Linked DNA regions of Arabidopsis thaliana. The protein of the gene in region 2 interacts with the protein of the main gene of each other region in a biochemical or structural test. Each region holds a gene or a part of one and is shown on either strand. Other genes may lie near its edges.

Evidence for each region. The genes of interacting proteins can lie anywhere in the genome.
Region 1: the proteins of RIN3 (region 2) and RPM1 form a complex in vitro, tested with the Arabidopsis thaliana proteins (one study listed by BioGRID).

The regions. Positions count from the first base shown.
Region 1 is NC_003074.8:2,225,328-2,231,543, forward strand, and holds RPM1 (NB-ARC domain-containing disease resistance protein), read right to left. Parts: upstream 4,229-6,216; 5' UTR 3,698-4,228; coding exon 917-3,697; 3' UTR 528-916; downstream 1-527. Other genes in the region: NSN1 (GTP-binding family protein), read right to left, coding at 4,275-4,619, 4,715-4,926, 5,028-5,207, 5,320-5,584, 5,679-5,893, 5,992-6,165.
Region 2 is NC_003076.8:20,890,906-20,898,497, reverse strand, and holds RIN3 (RPM1 interacting protein 3), read right to left. Parts: upstream 5,856-7,592; 5' UTR 5,699-5,855; intron 5,399-5,698; 5' UTR 5,335-5,398; coding exon 5,098-5,334; intron 4,705-5,097; coding exon 4,627-4,704; intron 4,331-4,626; coding exon 4,244-4,330; intron 4,144-4,243; coding exon 4,022-4,143; intron 3,511-4,021; coding exon 3,414-3,510; intron 3,308-3,413; coding exon 3,202-3,307; intron 3,075-3,201; coding exon 2,917-3,074; intron 2,809-2,916; coding exon 2,671-2,808; intron 2,592-2,670; coding exon 2,524-2,591; intron 2,438-2,523; coding exon 2,219-2,437; intron 2,004-2,218; coding exon 1,583-2,003; intron 1,332-1,582; coding exon 1,275-1,331; 3' UTR 539-1,274; downstream 1-538. Other genes in the region: RGF5 (root meristem growth factor), read right to left, coding at 13-129; AT5G51440 (HSP20-like chaperones superfamily protein), read right to left, coding at 6,485-6,912, 7,052-7,256. UniProt on the Arabidopsis thaliana protein: E3 ubiquitin protein ligase that acts as a positive regulator of RPM1- and RPS2-dependent hypersensitive response (HR), in association with RIN2. Probably not required for RPM1 degradation during HR.

The DNA of each region.
Region 1 (6,216 bases), on a different chromosome or scaffold from region 2:
GAAAGGACAGAGATGAGATTTAAGGATAGAGAAACCCTTAGTAATAAACCCTAGAAGGAGAAGAAGGAATCGCGAGTTTCAAGATGAAGAAGAAAGAGCATCGGGAAAGGCCGATAGTAATACCAAGGGACACCAAAGAGCCTTGAGTTTTTAATTTTTACTATTGACTAGGCCCAAAACGGTCTTTCGTCAAACCGCTTCAAAACGGGTCAGATATTTTCGGATCCGGATCCGATTTTCGGGGAGGTTAGTATGTCTTTTACGTGCGTTAGTTGCACGTGGATAACACGAATGACCAGATATCCATCCATCAATAATAATCTCCGTTTTAACCGCCGCGGATCGTTGATAACAAGATTTTTTTTACTTTCTTCTTTTCAAAATTTCAAAACTTTTCCATCAGTTAAGGAGAAATTTAAAATGGAATGTTTTGGAGTAGTATTAAGTATTTAGTCCAACTGTATCTGGTTATTTCGATTAGTGTAAAGGTCCTAACTTTTGGGATTGTGAATGAGCCACTTTCATTTAGAAGACTAACACGGTAGTGGAATTTCTTGGTTGAAGCCGATACTCAAATAACAATGTCAACAATATTAAGGTCTTAACAAAGTAATGTTTACACAGAATTACAGAACAATCAGCTGACCATATTAAATCTTACTTAAATGAATTTCGAAAAAAAACAGTGGAAACTGCTGTGAAGTGAGCTGTTTAGTCATTAGCACTGACTCATGAGACCAGCAAAAAAATGTTGTCTTTGAGTGAAGAGAAGACCTGATTGTTGACTTTCAAAGACAACACATGACAATCAATCTGTTTGGTAAGCTCATGGCGTTTAGTAGTTATGTGAATATCCATCCCTGATTTTCACAGTACAGTGTGCAGTATCTTGTATGATGAAGCTTGCCTTGGCCGCCTAAGATGAGAGGCTCACATAGAAAGAGCCATTATCAGTTCTGAAATAATGCTTAATCGCAGGAATGTGTTTAACCCTTGACCGGTCCACACTCCCTTCTCCGCGAATGCGTTCTACTAACTGATTAGAAACATGAATCAAATGCAGTTCTTGAAGATTTATAAGATTCTCAATTCCTCTTGGTACGTACTCTAACCCTCTACAAGCCCTGACATAAAGCTTCTGAAGCTCAAACATTGCACCGTCTTCTATAACAACTTCTGTCAGATGTTTCATCTGAACTATCTCTAGAATCTTCAGATTCTGAAATCCTTGTGCAAAACGCAACCTAGGTCCCATGTATGCATTGTAAAATGAAAGCCATACCAATCTAGGAAGCGTTTGGATAGAGAGAATGGCGTTTTCCTGTAGCTGAGATCCACGCAAACCCAAATAGGTAAGGTTTTGAAGAGTGTTGAACCAACTTGGTACTCTCTCCAGTTTCCCAGCAAGAAAGAGCTTCTCAATGCTTGCAGTTGCGATCAGGTCATCTATCTCTAACGGTTCCTCTTCATCAATCGACGTTAAAGATAAGAATCGAATTCTTTTAATCTTATTCAGTGAATCGCACAAGTCTCTTCCATGTTCTCTCCTAACCATGACAAGACTTATTCTTGTGAGCTGAGTCATACACCCGAGATTTTTGATAAGCTCATCTTCTGCGTTGAAGCAGTCCATGACTTGCAAATCCTTCAACTGCCAGATTTTAGGAACAACCCTTGTACCTAAAACATAATTCCAATTGGAATCATGTCCTTCATTGCGGCGAAAAGTAATGAGATATCGCAACTTCTTCAATTTCCACATCCCTAGAGGAAGTTCCTCAATCTTGGAGTGCTTTGTGTTCAACGTCTCCAAATTGACGAGTTTATGGAAGTTTTTTGGCAGTTCTTTCACCTGTGTCTTGGACAAATTCAAGTACTTTAAGTTGAACATAGTTACTAAACAATCTGGTAACTTGCTGATGGAAGAGTCTTCAAGGTCTAAGGCTCTCAGAAGGTTCAGACTTGGAAGTAATTCCATCTTGTGTTTAGCAGAAGAGCAAACCAAAAGAGAGTGAAGGTTTGTTGCACGTATACTATCAGGTGTCATCTCTTTCTGAATGCATAAATGGCGACTACCGTAATTCTCCATTGTTTCTGCAGCATCATCACCATCACTGTCATCATTATATACATCACAGAACCTCTCAAGTTTGGATACAGATAGAGCAATCTCCCATATCACGTCATGCATCTTGAACGCCTTGGGTCGTCCAAAAGGATTCCACAAGATAACTTGAAGCATATTTCTGTAAACAAGTTCATTGAGGTAACTATCAGCCACTTCTTCTGCTTTCACTCCTCTGATCGGTTCCACAAACCTTTGTGCCATCCACATCCTAATGAGCCTCTTTCTTTTCATCCGATAGTTCACAGGGAAAAGAGAACAATATAAGAAACAACGTTTAAGCGGGTATGGCAAATCATTGAAGCTAAGGAACATAATGCTTCGAACAATCTTGAGTTCATGATTGTTGTTCAGTTCCCAGTTTAAAGTACTGTAGACTTTCTTCCATTCTGATTCAAACTTCTTGGTTGACATCATGCTTCCCAAAGAAGCAATAGCTAATGGCAAACCCTGACATCTCTCGACTAATTTTCGTGCTATCGGCTCCAAATTCTGCGTTCTGCATTGCTCAAGACTTGCCGGAAAAGCTTTGTTGGAGAAAAGCACCCAAGCTTCGTCTTCTTTTAAGAGCTCAATCTCGTGCTTTGTGCTCCCAATTCCATATGGGAAAGAAGCCACGTTCATGTCCCGAGTAGTCATCATAACACGACTTCCATAAATACCATCTGGTAAAGCAATACTTATCTCCCTCCATAGACCAGTGGTCCATACATCATCAAGCACAACAATGTACCTCTTCGACTGCAAATACTCCACAAGTTTTTCCACCAACTCTCTGTAGCCTAAGGAGTATAATTCAGCTGGAATCTGTGTATCTGCTTCTTTGTAAAACTCCTTGATCATGGTCCTAAACACATCTTCAATCACATAAGATTTCGAGATTGTAACCCAAGCGTAAGACTCAAAATGCCTCCGCACACTTTGAGACTTGAAGATATTCGCTGAGAGTGTAGTTTTCCCTGAACCGCCCATCCCAACCACCGCGACAACAATCCGCTGAGGTTCGGGACTTAGAAGCCGTCCGATGAGCTTTCCCTTGGGTGCATCAATCCCTACAAGACTATTTTCACTAAAGAAAAGAGATGACTCACTGATGTTGTTCACCCACTTTGCATCGCCATCATCAATAGGCGGTAATAATGCTGCTTGGTAGTTTTCTGAATGATAGTACCTTTTCATGGAATCAGAAATGGATTGAATCATGACATTAACCATTCCTAGCTTTTGAGCTATCGAGTGCCTCGCCCACATATACCTCGGGAAATGAAACGCACGCCAAATTTTGGCGCAGCTACGATAACCGTGGATGTGATAGCCAAACTCGTCGAGAATGTCTTCGATTTGGTAAGCCAAATCTCTCGTGTTTGCCACAAAAGTTTGGAAGAGTTGAGTTGTTGTTGTTGTGGATCCATTTCCACCATGTTTATGAGTATCCTCAAGAAAGGACTTCATGATCAGCAACTCCTTCTTCATTTTATCAATCTCACCATGGACTCCTGACAATAACAAGGTCTCGTTTTCCAGGACACTAAGAATCCGTCCGATCCCAAAATCAACAGTAGCCGAAGCCATCTTCCTCAGAGTCTCGCTTGAACCTTTTTTCCTTCACTGATTTAGTTTCTCTTGGTGAACTTGCTGAATTTGAGCAAAGCCAAGCTTTCGGTTCACACCTTACATGCCTGCCACATAACATTTTGATCAATTATCCTTAAGGACCTCAACAAAGTCAACGTCCTTTACTTGCGTTAAAGTCAACACGGGTTTAAACTGCTTTCACATTTGCAACTTGGAATTCAATTTGACGGATATGGTCGAGTTTGGAAGTTCCAAGAGAGAGACAGAGAAATCTGATGTACTGAACTCGGGTGTTGTTTTCGTCATTCGTTACCTGAAACTGAAAGGGTAAAAGATTATTACTTTCTTCTGAAGGGCGAAGAAGTACACTTACCTCAATGATTTTTGAATGTTCTTAAGATATTTGTTAAGCAAAGCAGAATTGGAATAGAAGAAACGTTAATTAAAGAAATCAAAATCGCTTCAGTATTACTACTAGTTCATGAAGCACATATATCAGAAAGTTTAACCGACCGACTCATAAACGCCAAATACAAAAAAAAAAAAAAAAAAAAACGTTGTGGTTTCCAATCACTCATTCTTCAGGCAAAAGTCCAGCCATTGGGATTTTAGCATCAATCTGGAATTCTTCGTCTTCTCCATCTTTGTTCTTCCTATAATCCACTTTGAAATCATAATCTCCGTCCATCAGATCCTCCTCATCAGCTCCTGCTTTCTTTGCTTTCTTCCTCTTCTTCTTCTCTGCTTTCTGTTTCTTTGTATTCAACATGCTTTCCGCTGCGTATAGCTTCACGTTCTGCCTCCCCGTCTCTGATTTCTCCTTCGTCTTTCCTGCCTCTTCCTCCTCCTCCCCTCCCATTGACTCATCATCATCACTCTCATGCTCAGCCTCCTCTTCCGTCTGCGTCTTAGACTCATCCTGTTTTTTTTTTTTGTGATACATCATCATAAACAAAGATTAAATCCAGACCGAGTCATTTACAAGCAAATGGAATCACGAGAGAAGTTACCAACCTCGATCATAGTTTCATCGAAATTGAGAGGACCATTTGAAGGAATAATAACAGGGTTGAATTCGTTAACCGTCTTCAAGCTCCCAATGAAAGAGGATTCACCACTGTAAACCTCATCGATGTTGAAATCCTTGGCCAGCTCAGTCACAATCTTTGACTCTGCATGTCCACCCTGGTCCCTCTTTGGCGGCATTGTATAGTATGGGATTTTACCTGCATAACCATTCATATTAGAGACAATGATGAGTTAAGAAACTGGTTTTCAAAAATGCTTTTACGCTTCAAGTTTACGAGGAACAAAAAAAGATCCGCACCTTCATTCCAGTCATGCAAAACAATTCTGGCAGCAGCATCAATATCCACAAGACCACCCTTTTTAAGTTTACCCCTTACAGTGGCGACTTTGTAAAGGAAATCATCAACTGCCTCGAAGCTCGGGATTTTGTAGAGAGTCACCAGCATATCTTTAGGACAAAGCTTGAGAATTTCCTTCACTATTTTTTTCACAAAGCAGAAGATTTCCAAGTTAGGTCACTCAGATTATAACCTTTAAAAGACAAAGCACAAAAATAAGTGTGATTCTATCTTGAGCTTATATCCAATTACCTGGACTAACTGGGTCATCCAACTTCTCGATTCTTTTACAATTTCGGAGAGCTATGGAAGCATCATTTCCTGATGATTTCAACATCACAACTCCAGGACAATCCAGCAACTTCACGTTTTTGTCCAAGTGAACCTCTTGCAGAGATCTAGTCAGTCCAGGAGTGGCACCAACATTGACAACATGCGCTCTCTTCAGACTGTTAATAAGACTACTCTTGCCGACATTAGGCAGTCCAATAATACCAACTGTGATAGATTTTTTTAACTGCCAAAGAACAACAAAGGAAGATTTAATTGAAACTGAATGATATAACTTGATGCTAAGGTAGGATGATTAAAGTTTAAACTATGGAACCAACCTCATGACTTCTTGAGTAGTTCTTCAACAATTTGATAAGAGTGTCTGCTCCAAGACAATCACTCGTCTGCAACATATTGCTTGGTTTTGATGCCTTAGATGATTTCCAACCCAAGTTTGATCTCTGTTCCTGGGTGCTACACTTGAAGGCAACAGCTGGAAATTCTTCCCTAAGGTACATAAGCCATTTCTCAGCAGCCTCTCGGGGAACAAGATCTGGAGAGAGTGAATCAGTTACAAAAATTAATTACACCACCCAGAGTAAACAAACAACTTATTACGTCCACGAGTAAAGACTGAATATATGAACTTACCAATCTTGTTCAGCAGCAACACAAGATGCTTATTGGGACCGGCTTGCATCACCATCCTCTCCATGTCAGTACAACGAGTGCCAAGAGGATCACGGGCATCAAGAACCTCCAAAATGACATCAGACAATTCAATGACTTTAACTAGCTCCTTGTAGAAAGCCCTCTCCGAGTTATCTGTGAAACAAAAGACATTAGTGCATGTAAAGGCAGAGAGAAAGCACATAA
Region 2 (7,592 bases):
TGGATCAAGAACCTTGACGAGTGAAAACCGAGACGCTGTAATGTGGACATTGTCGAGGTGACGAGAATCAGAATGATGCAAGAAGAGAAACAAGAGAAGGATCATTGAAGCAACATGGATTGAGCTCATTGGTCACAACAGAAGCAGTCATACAAGGCTCAACGACTAAGAGGATTATGAACCGTTAAAAGACTTAATAGGTAGTAGGAGACTATATAATAAGAGCAAGTTCACGCATAAGTATTTGAATGTAAGAATTAAATCACAGAATAAACAAGTTTTTTATTTAATCAATCCAGATGAATGTGCTGGAAAAGCTCATGGGAAAAGCCAAACATGAGTCAAAAAGAGAGAAAGAAACAACAAAAGGAAAAGGACATATAAACCTCGGTGAAAAACGAGTGATTTACTACTTCTTGTCTCTTACACATCTCATTTGAGACCAATCCCCAAAACTTACCGACTACCACGGTAAATATTCTATTAAGATAATGCAAGCTAGTTTCGGATTGCATTATTATATGAAAAACTTAAAGCACTTTTTGAAGGCAATTGTTTTAATTACCTTAATGGTTTTGTCTGCCTCGAGGATGGTTTGGAGGTTGACGATGACTGTTAACACTACTTTTTGAGCTTTGACACAATCTCCGAGACATCTTGTCTTCAAAAAGTCCTATTGAATTGCTCAATTCCTGCGTGTTTCTAAAACAAATAACACATGTTAGTTCAAAGTAAAAGAGCTTCAAGAACCAAGAACCCAACATCTGGACCAAGAATGTTCCCTCAGAATGTCTTTCCTCTGTTCCAAGAAGCCATGAAACCTGCAAATTCAAGCTAAAGAAACCGGTATAGAGTAGACAGCAGGACCCAGCTTTAAGGAAACGGTTCAGCAATTGAGAAGATCTATTGGATCAATAACAATACATTCTGCTTTTTGTTTTATTGTAAAATTACACGTTCTTATACAAATGGAGGTAGCATCAGTCCTCAGACGTGCATTCCCATAGACTGGTTACCAGCTCCAGAGAATAAAGCCTCCAACATCAGACTGAACAATGCAACTAAATGAGCTTTATTTATCCCACAAGAGCAATGAACAAAATCTACTCTAGAGCCTCTTACTCTTGCAAAGTCTGTTGCAAGAATGCCTCCTATTTACAGCAGACAACGCTTCTAAATGTGTGGTGGTGAGTCAAACTTAAAAGACAAGGATGTTTCCTGATGCGTCTATCTTATCGAATGGAACTGCTAATTACTTTTAGGCAAACCAATTTTCACATCTGGAGAAGATTGTTCACTGTAACAGAAACAGAATTTGTTCTTTGCAGGTCCTGAAAGAAGATTGAATCAATCATCACTTCAATACCCAGCGTGTGCAAACAAATGACAACAAATGGCCATTAAACTCAGAAAAATTGAGCCCATTAATTTCTTAATGAAAATTTTGCTTCACAAATTCATATATACAAATGTTTTCCTTTCATTTGATGCAGGAAACTAACTAAATATCCTAGCAATTCAACCCAGCAAGTAGCTTGCTTGTCAAAGCAGACACATACCAATAAATGCATCTAATATTTACCTGAAAAATTATTTCATCAGGCACATGTGGGAGGACTTCCCTTACTGTCTCGGCCATTGCTAGTATACTCGCCATGTTATTTGCTGCACGGGAGACAGTTCTTAGATGCAGACCACCTGTTCTTCCTCCAGCACCAGGAGGAACATATGTAGATGAAGTCGATGCTTGCGAAGGATTCATTGGCCAGAGACCCCAAGAAGCATCGTCAAGTGTAGTCTGAGCAGAACCTTCCCCTACAGATGCAAGATGCCTCATCATCAATTGAACCTGCCCCAGCCCAACGGATCTGGAGCCTGCAGAGGAACCCACAACATCAACACCCTGATCTGACCATGTTTGCAGCCAGCTTGGATCCACCTCTGAATTCCTATATGGCATGAGAAAAAGGTGAGAACTGCTAATCCCGTTTAAGAAAGCCAGTCTTTAAAAAGAAAATCAATGGGGGCACAAGCTTGGTCCTCACAAAACCAACAATTACTTGCTACCCAAAAGAACCAAGTATAATTAGACAAAATTAGAGAATGCATAGTATTTTAGCTCAGGGATAGGAAACCACAGGAAGTTGATGATCTTGTTATGAACACACTGTTACTTTAATGCACTTAAGAAGAAAACATATGGAACAATGAACCCAACCTCCAAGGATCACTTTCGGTGAAATTTGGCGTCTCAGTTGGAAACATTCCAGTGGTTAGTGCATGCACAGAATTGTTTTGTCTCTCAAATTGACGGGCTAAGTGTTCATCGCTTGAGACTTCTCCTCTGCTAGGATTCGCCTCACTTTCAGTTCTACCAACAAAAAGAGGCTTACGGCAAGTAGGACAAGAGTAAACCTCATTTAAACCTTGATCCAACCTGCCAGAGTCAAAATATCATTATGATTTACAGTTCTCACAGAACCGCAATAGCACAAGGCTGCCAACATAACAGAGCTAGCATACCATGATCGTAGGCAGCCAAGATGAAAAAGGTGGTTGCAGTGAAGTCTTTTAGCCTTAGCCATTGGTTCCTATCATTCATAATGGTTCCAAGATTAGTGAGCTACTAAAAAAAGTAAGGAGACCAATAACTATCAAGCAGAAACTTACCCGACATATAGCACATTCGTCATCATAATCCCGTAGCTCTTCTGAAGTTGCATCAAGAAGAGCTGCATGAAGAGCACCTAAAGCTACTCTCAGTTTGATGTATCCTTTTATTCGTTTCAAAATTGAACTTAGCAAGGCCTGTCAAAATCAAACGGGAACACACAAAGAACTTAACAATTAGGTATGTGCCTATTAAGAAACCAGTAGAGTGGCACTTTTACAAAGAAAGTCAATTAACAGACTTACACGTATGTTGAGAAACAAAACTGCATCCACCAGATGGAAGGCCATTCCATGGAGCCACCAGATGTGCAAATAATGACCGAGGGCCATTACCAAGGTAGCCATGTCTAGGAAGAAACCAAGATTTCGGTTGAGGAGGCCTTTCCATTCCAATAACGAGCCTATTCAATGGGTAAGAGGTCAAGTTAGTAATGTGAACACCAAACAGGACAAAAAATTTCAAATAATGCACGCCTGCAGTCTAACAGAAAACATAATTACAATCATATGCCGAGAAAAAGACAAAACCTGCTGTCATGGAATCATAAAACTTTGATCTCTGGCAATCTGAATTCTTGACTGCTAAGTGGTTGATCCACATATCAAGCAGTTGAAACCCGTGAATCAACAACGCCTGAAAAAAATGATCCATTATGCGATTGATCAACCCTCTATATTTCTAGGTACGGTTACAAAGAAGGGTAACATAAACAATGAATACAACTATCTTACTCAAGTACCTGCAAGGTCTCAAAAGCTATACCGCATGGCTCAAAAAGTAACAGTAAATAGACAGACGAACCAACTGTATTGTATATCATAAGGGAAAGCTTTATCCTGCAAGATTCGACAAAATTAACATCCAGAGACGAACAAGTTCATTCTTCAATCACTAGAACAGAATATGATAATCCAGAGGGTCTGGTGTATGAATTAAAAACTCCCTATTTTCTCCTCATTGAACTGCAGTATAATAAATACGGGAACTCTAGAACACAATATTTTCTCCGCTCACTACAGCATATGCACCCTCAGAACATACTAAAGCCTCTGTTTTATCTTAGCAGAAAATTACACTGCTTTCACTAGAACTATATGCATCATGAAAGTCATGTGCACCATTCAGAGACTTAGGGTTAATTTGTTTTGTCTCCTCTGATATACAACTATACTTTATTTTATTTTAAGAATATATATCTGGTTCCAGAGACAGAAACTAGGAGGAAAACTTTACACTCATATTTTGAAATAGAAGAAGGAAAATAGTGCACTCATATTAAAAAAAAAAAAGGGGTTGAAAAAGCCGCAACTCAAAATTTCACATGATACCAAAGAGTTAAGGAAATACCAGCACAAATCAGTAGAGAGAACCATGAACAGTGCTGAATACACACGAAAGTATGTCCAAGGAGTCGAAGAAGGAGATGCATTCAATCGATCAAGCCGATCTCTAGCCAAAGCTTGAAACATCTACACAACATTTTACTACACATTAGGGTGTCTAGAAAAAAAAATCAGCACTTCCTGATCATAAATCAAGAAAGCCAATTATGCAACCTGTATACCATACCTTTAGAGTACACAGAACAGTCAACCAGATTGTCCATAGGACCCCCTGAAATACTGTTCGTGGAACCACGAATGGCAGAAAAGTGCCCTAAAAACAGGAGTAACCAAGAAGGTTATTAACATGAAAATGGCACACATCTGCAAATAACTTAATTTTATGCAAACAGATCAGATATCCAATCGAATAATGTGGTAGAAATATATGCTCATGTACCATTAATGCTTGTCATTTTAAGTAGGATTTCGTCTTCATCCTTTTTTGCAATATATTCAGTAAAGGAGATAATAGAATATCCCAGATATCATAAAACTATATAAGTGACAGAAATTGTGGGTTGGTTTCCGTTGCACCCTACTGTCTTTCATCAAAGTACAAAAAACTACCTTGTAAATGATGTAATTGGCAAGCCTTTCCACCAGTTTTCTAGTTTCAATGGCATATAGATCTCCAAAAAACAGAGTCTGCAGGGAATATTAAGAGTTATCAGATCCTCACACAATGATTGAAAGACATTTCCCAAAACAGCTAGTCTATTATTACCCTACAAGTATGTGCAGACCCTTAAGGCAACAAATAGCATGGTATTTGGTTTCACGGAAGCCTTATAACTATCGAAAACCAAGAGTTTTTAAATCCTTCAGGTCAGAAATACTTGGTTCTTACACCACAACTCTTAACCCGCAGGTGCAAACTTATAATTCATGTATTTTCTAATAGCCAAACTACGAGCTTTACATTGAATTCCATCTAAAGGAAAGAACCATTCAAAAGATGTATATCTATTCTACGTAAGAATAAAGCTAGCCGACGAATATTGCTTAAACTTAACCTCGGAAGTAAAAGACCACTCTTACCTTGAGAGAAAGAACAAGAAGAATGTAGATATTGAGAACAAAACTTGCCAGCAATGCAATTGTAGTGTGAGAACTCAGAAGAAGCTCAAGGGTATTCTCAGAATTCCCTAAAGAAATGTTCTTGGTGATTATCCCATCAGCTCTAAGTCTATCAAGAGACAACTCCGTCCAGACTTGTAAACCCACAAAGCTCAAAGCTGTTGTTGCCACGGAAATGTGCAAATATGTTATCCCCATTAGAAACTATTATAGCCTTCTCACTCCGAATTAACCCACAGATTCTCATTTAGCATGACGTCCCCTGCATCAACATGATTTTGCATAAGCTAAGCAAACCAAAAGCTTATGTAAGTTAGAGAATTGAGTTAAAAAGTTTCAATTTTTTTATAACGTAGGCCAATCGAAGCAAGTAAAATTCAAAACCATGATCACGAAGTTCATAGGATACTGCAATTGAGAGAGATATGTATTAAATAAGTAAAATTGAAGAAACTGGGAAATTCAATTAACCAAAGGAGAGAGATGAGCTGAAAGATTGAGGTCAATAGAAGAAAATATGAAGATAATGGTGGATTCTGCAGAGAGCGAAATGGATCAAAACCTGAGTTCGCGATTGGAAAATTCTCCTCAGCACCGGCAATTGCGTCCTCTTTTTGTCTCTCTTTCTCGATGGACAAGGAAAAATGAAGAATATAAAATGCGGAAGAAAAAAACTCAAAATAATAAACCATGCGGTAAATAAAAAGTTACTTAAATTTGACGATGCCGACACGAACGAGTTCTATGGTCACCGAAGTGGTTCCAAAGAAGTAAAGCTATAAAGAGCGCGCTTTGCCAAACAGAGGTGAAAAAAAAACGGTAGCAAAATTCTCTAATAGTCTTGTCCCACAACCTTCTTCTGGTTGCTGAGACCTATATCAACATTTCCAGCACATTCAAAATCAGTTACTTGGTATCAATTTGATGTATCATCCCCTTATAAAACCGAGTTTGAACATCGAGAATGAGCATCGAATGTATCGTTGATCATGGCTCTGTCCAGCATGTTTGATAACACCACCATAGTCCATAGGTATAATGATAGAAAATCGTCCTAGCAGACTCTTTTTCTCCATAAATAATATCCAAATAACTTCAACTATATCATAGTTGCTACGATATTCATATCCAGAATCCGATATCAAGAATTTGGGAAACAAAATCCGAACCTATGATATGAAAGTAGTCAAACGTACATAGATCATTGATGTAACGAAAAAAGTCAAAATCCCGAACACATAGGACCGTGGGAAATGTCATTCTCCTTGATTCACCAAAGGACACCTTAAAGTTCACAAATTCACTCACTTACTTCCATTCCATCTCAAACAATCCAAAATAAAACACTCTAGTCAACGTTTATGTGACGAATATTGTTACGCTCATCCTCTTTAATCTTTGGAATCACCACTTTCAACACACCATTCTTCATTTCCGCCTTAATCTCATCAGTCTTGTATACTTTCTCCGGTAACTCAATCCTACTCGTAAACCTCCGTCCATCTCCAGAAACATCTTCTCCCTCCTCTGTTTCCCCTTCTCCTCTAATCACCAATGTGTTCTGTTCCAAAGCCAATTTCACATCCTCTCTGCTTAGTCCCGGCATATCTATCCTTAGATGCAACGCGTCGTCTTTCTCTTTCACGTTCCAACCACGTCTAACTCCAGAAGCTCCCATTCCACGAGTAGCTGATACCAAAGGGATTTCGCTTACCTGGTCCATGAAATTCAGCATCTGGCTCAAGCTTCTCGTTGGAGTAAACGGATCGAGTATATCTGTTTGAAAAAACAACCAAATTTTCAGATTCAACAGATCTCCAAAACAAAGTTAGATGTACTCTATACATAAATCACTAAACATGTATCAAATTGGGAAAATCTATAGCGAAATTGGACGGAGGAACCATGGATTTACGTGAGAAGAAATCGCCGCCGTGGCGAGAAACATGTCGGTTTGAGTGATGGTTCCTATCGACACCGTCTTCATAGTTTCTGGCGGCGTTGGTATTGAAGAGGCGAGATGAAGCAGCCACCGGACGAACGGCTCTTAAGGCGCGAGGGACGGCGACGGTGGAAGAAGAGAGAAGTCTCCTGAGAGCTAAAGCCGATGATGACGCCATTTTTGGAAAGAGAAGAAGCTTAGAATTAGCAAGTGATTAATTATTTTCAAGCTCGATGAGATATTTTTTATACTCTTTGAACGAAAAAAAAGCTGTTAGAGAAAGGTTTATATAGAACAGAGAGTAGAAGAAGCTGCTAGAGGCTAGAGAGTCGCTTAAGGATGGTTCTAGAACTGCGTGGTCTCCAAGTAAAATAAAGAAAAATAAAGAAAAAGAAAGAAGAAAACTTTTTCCGTGACGGCCCATCACTTTGGGGCCCAGATTTGTAAATTTATCTTCCGTTTACTTTGGTTTGGTTTTAAAGTCGAATTTGAAAGTCGGTTTAGATCGATTTGG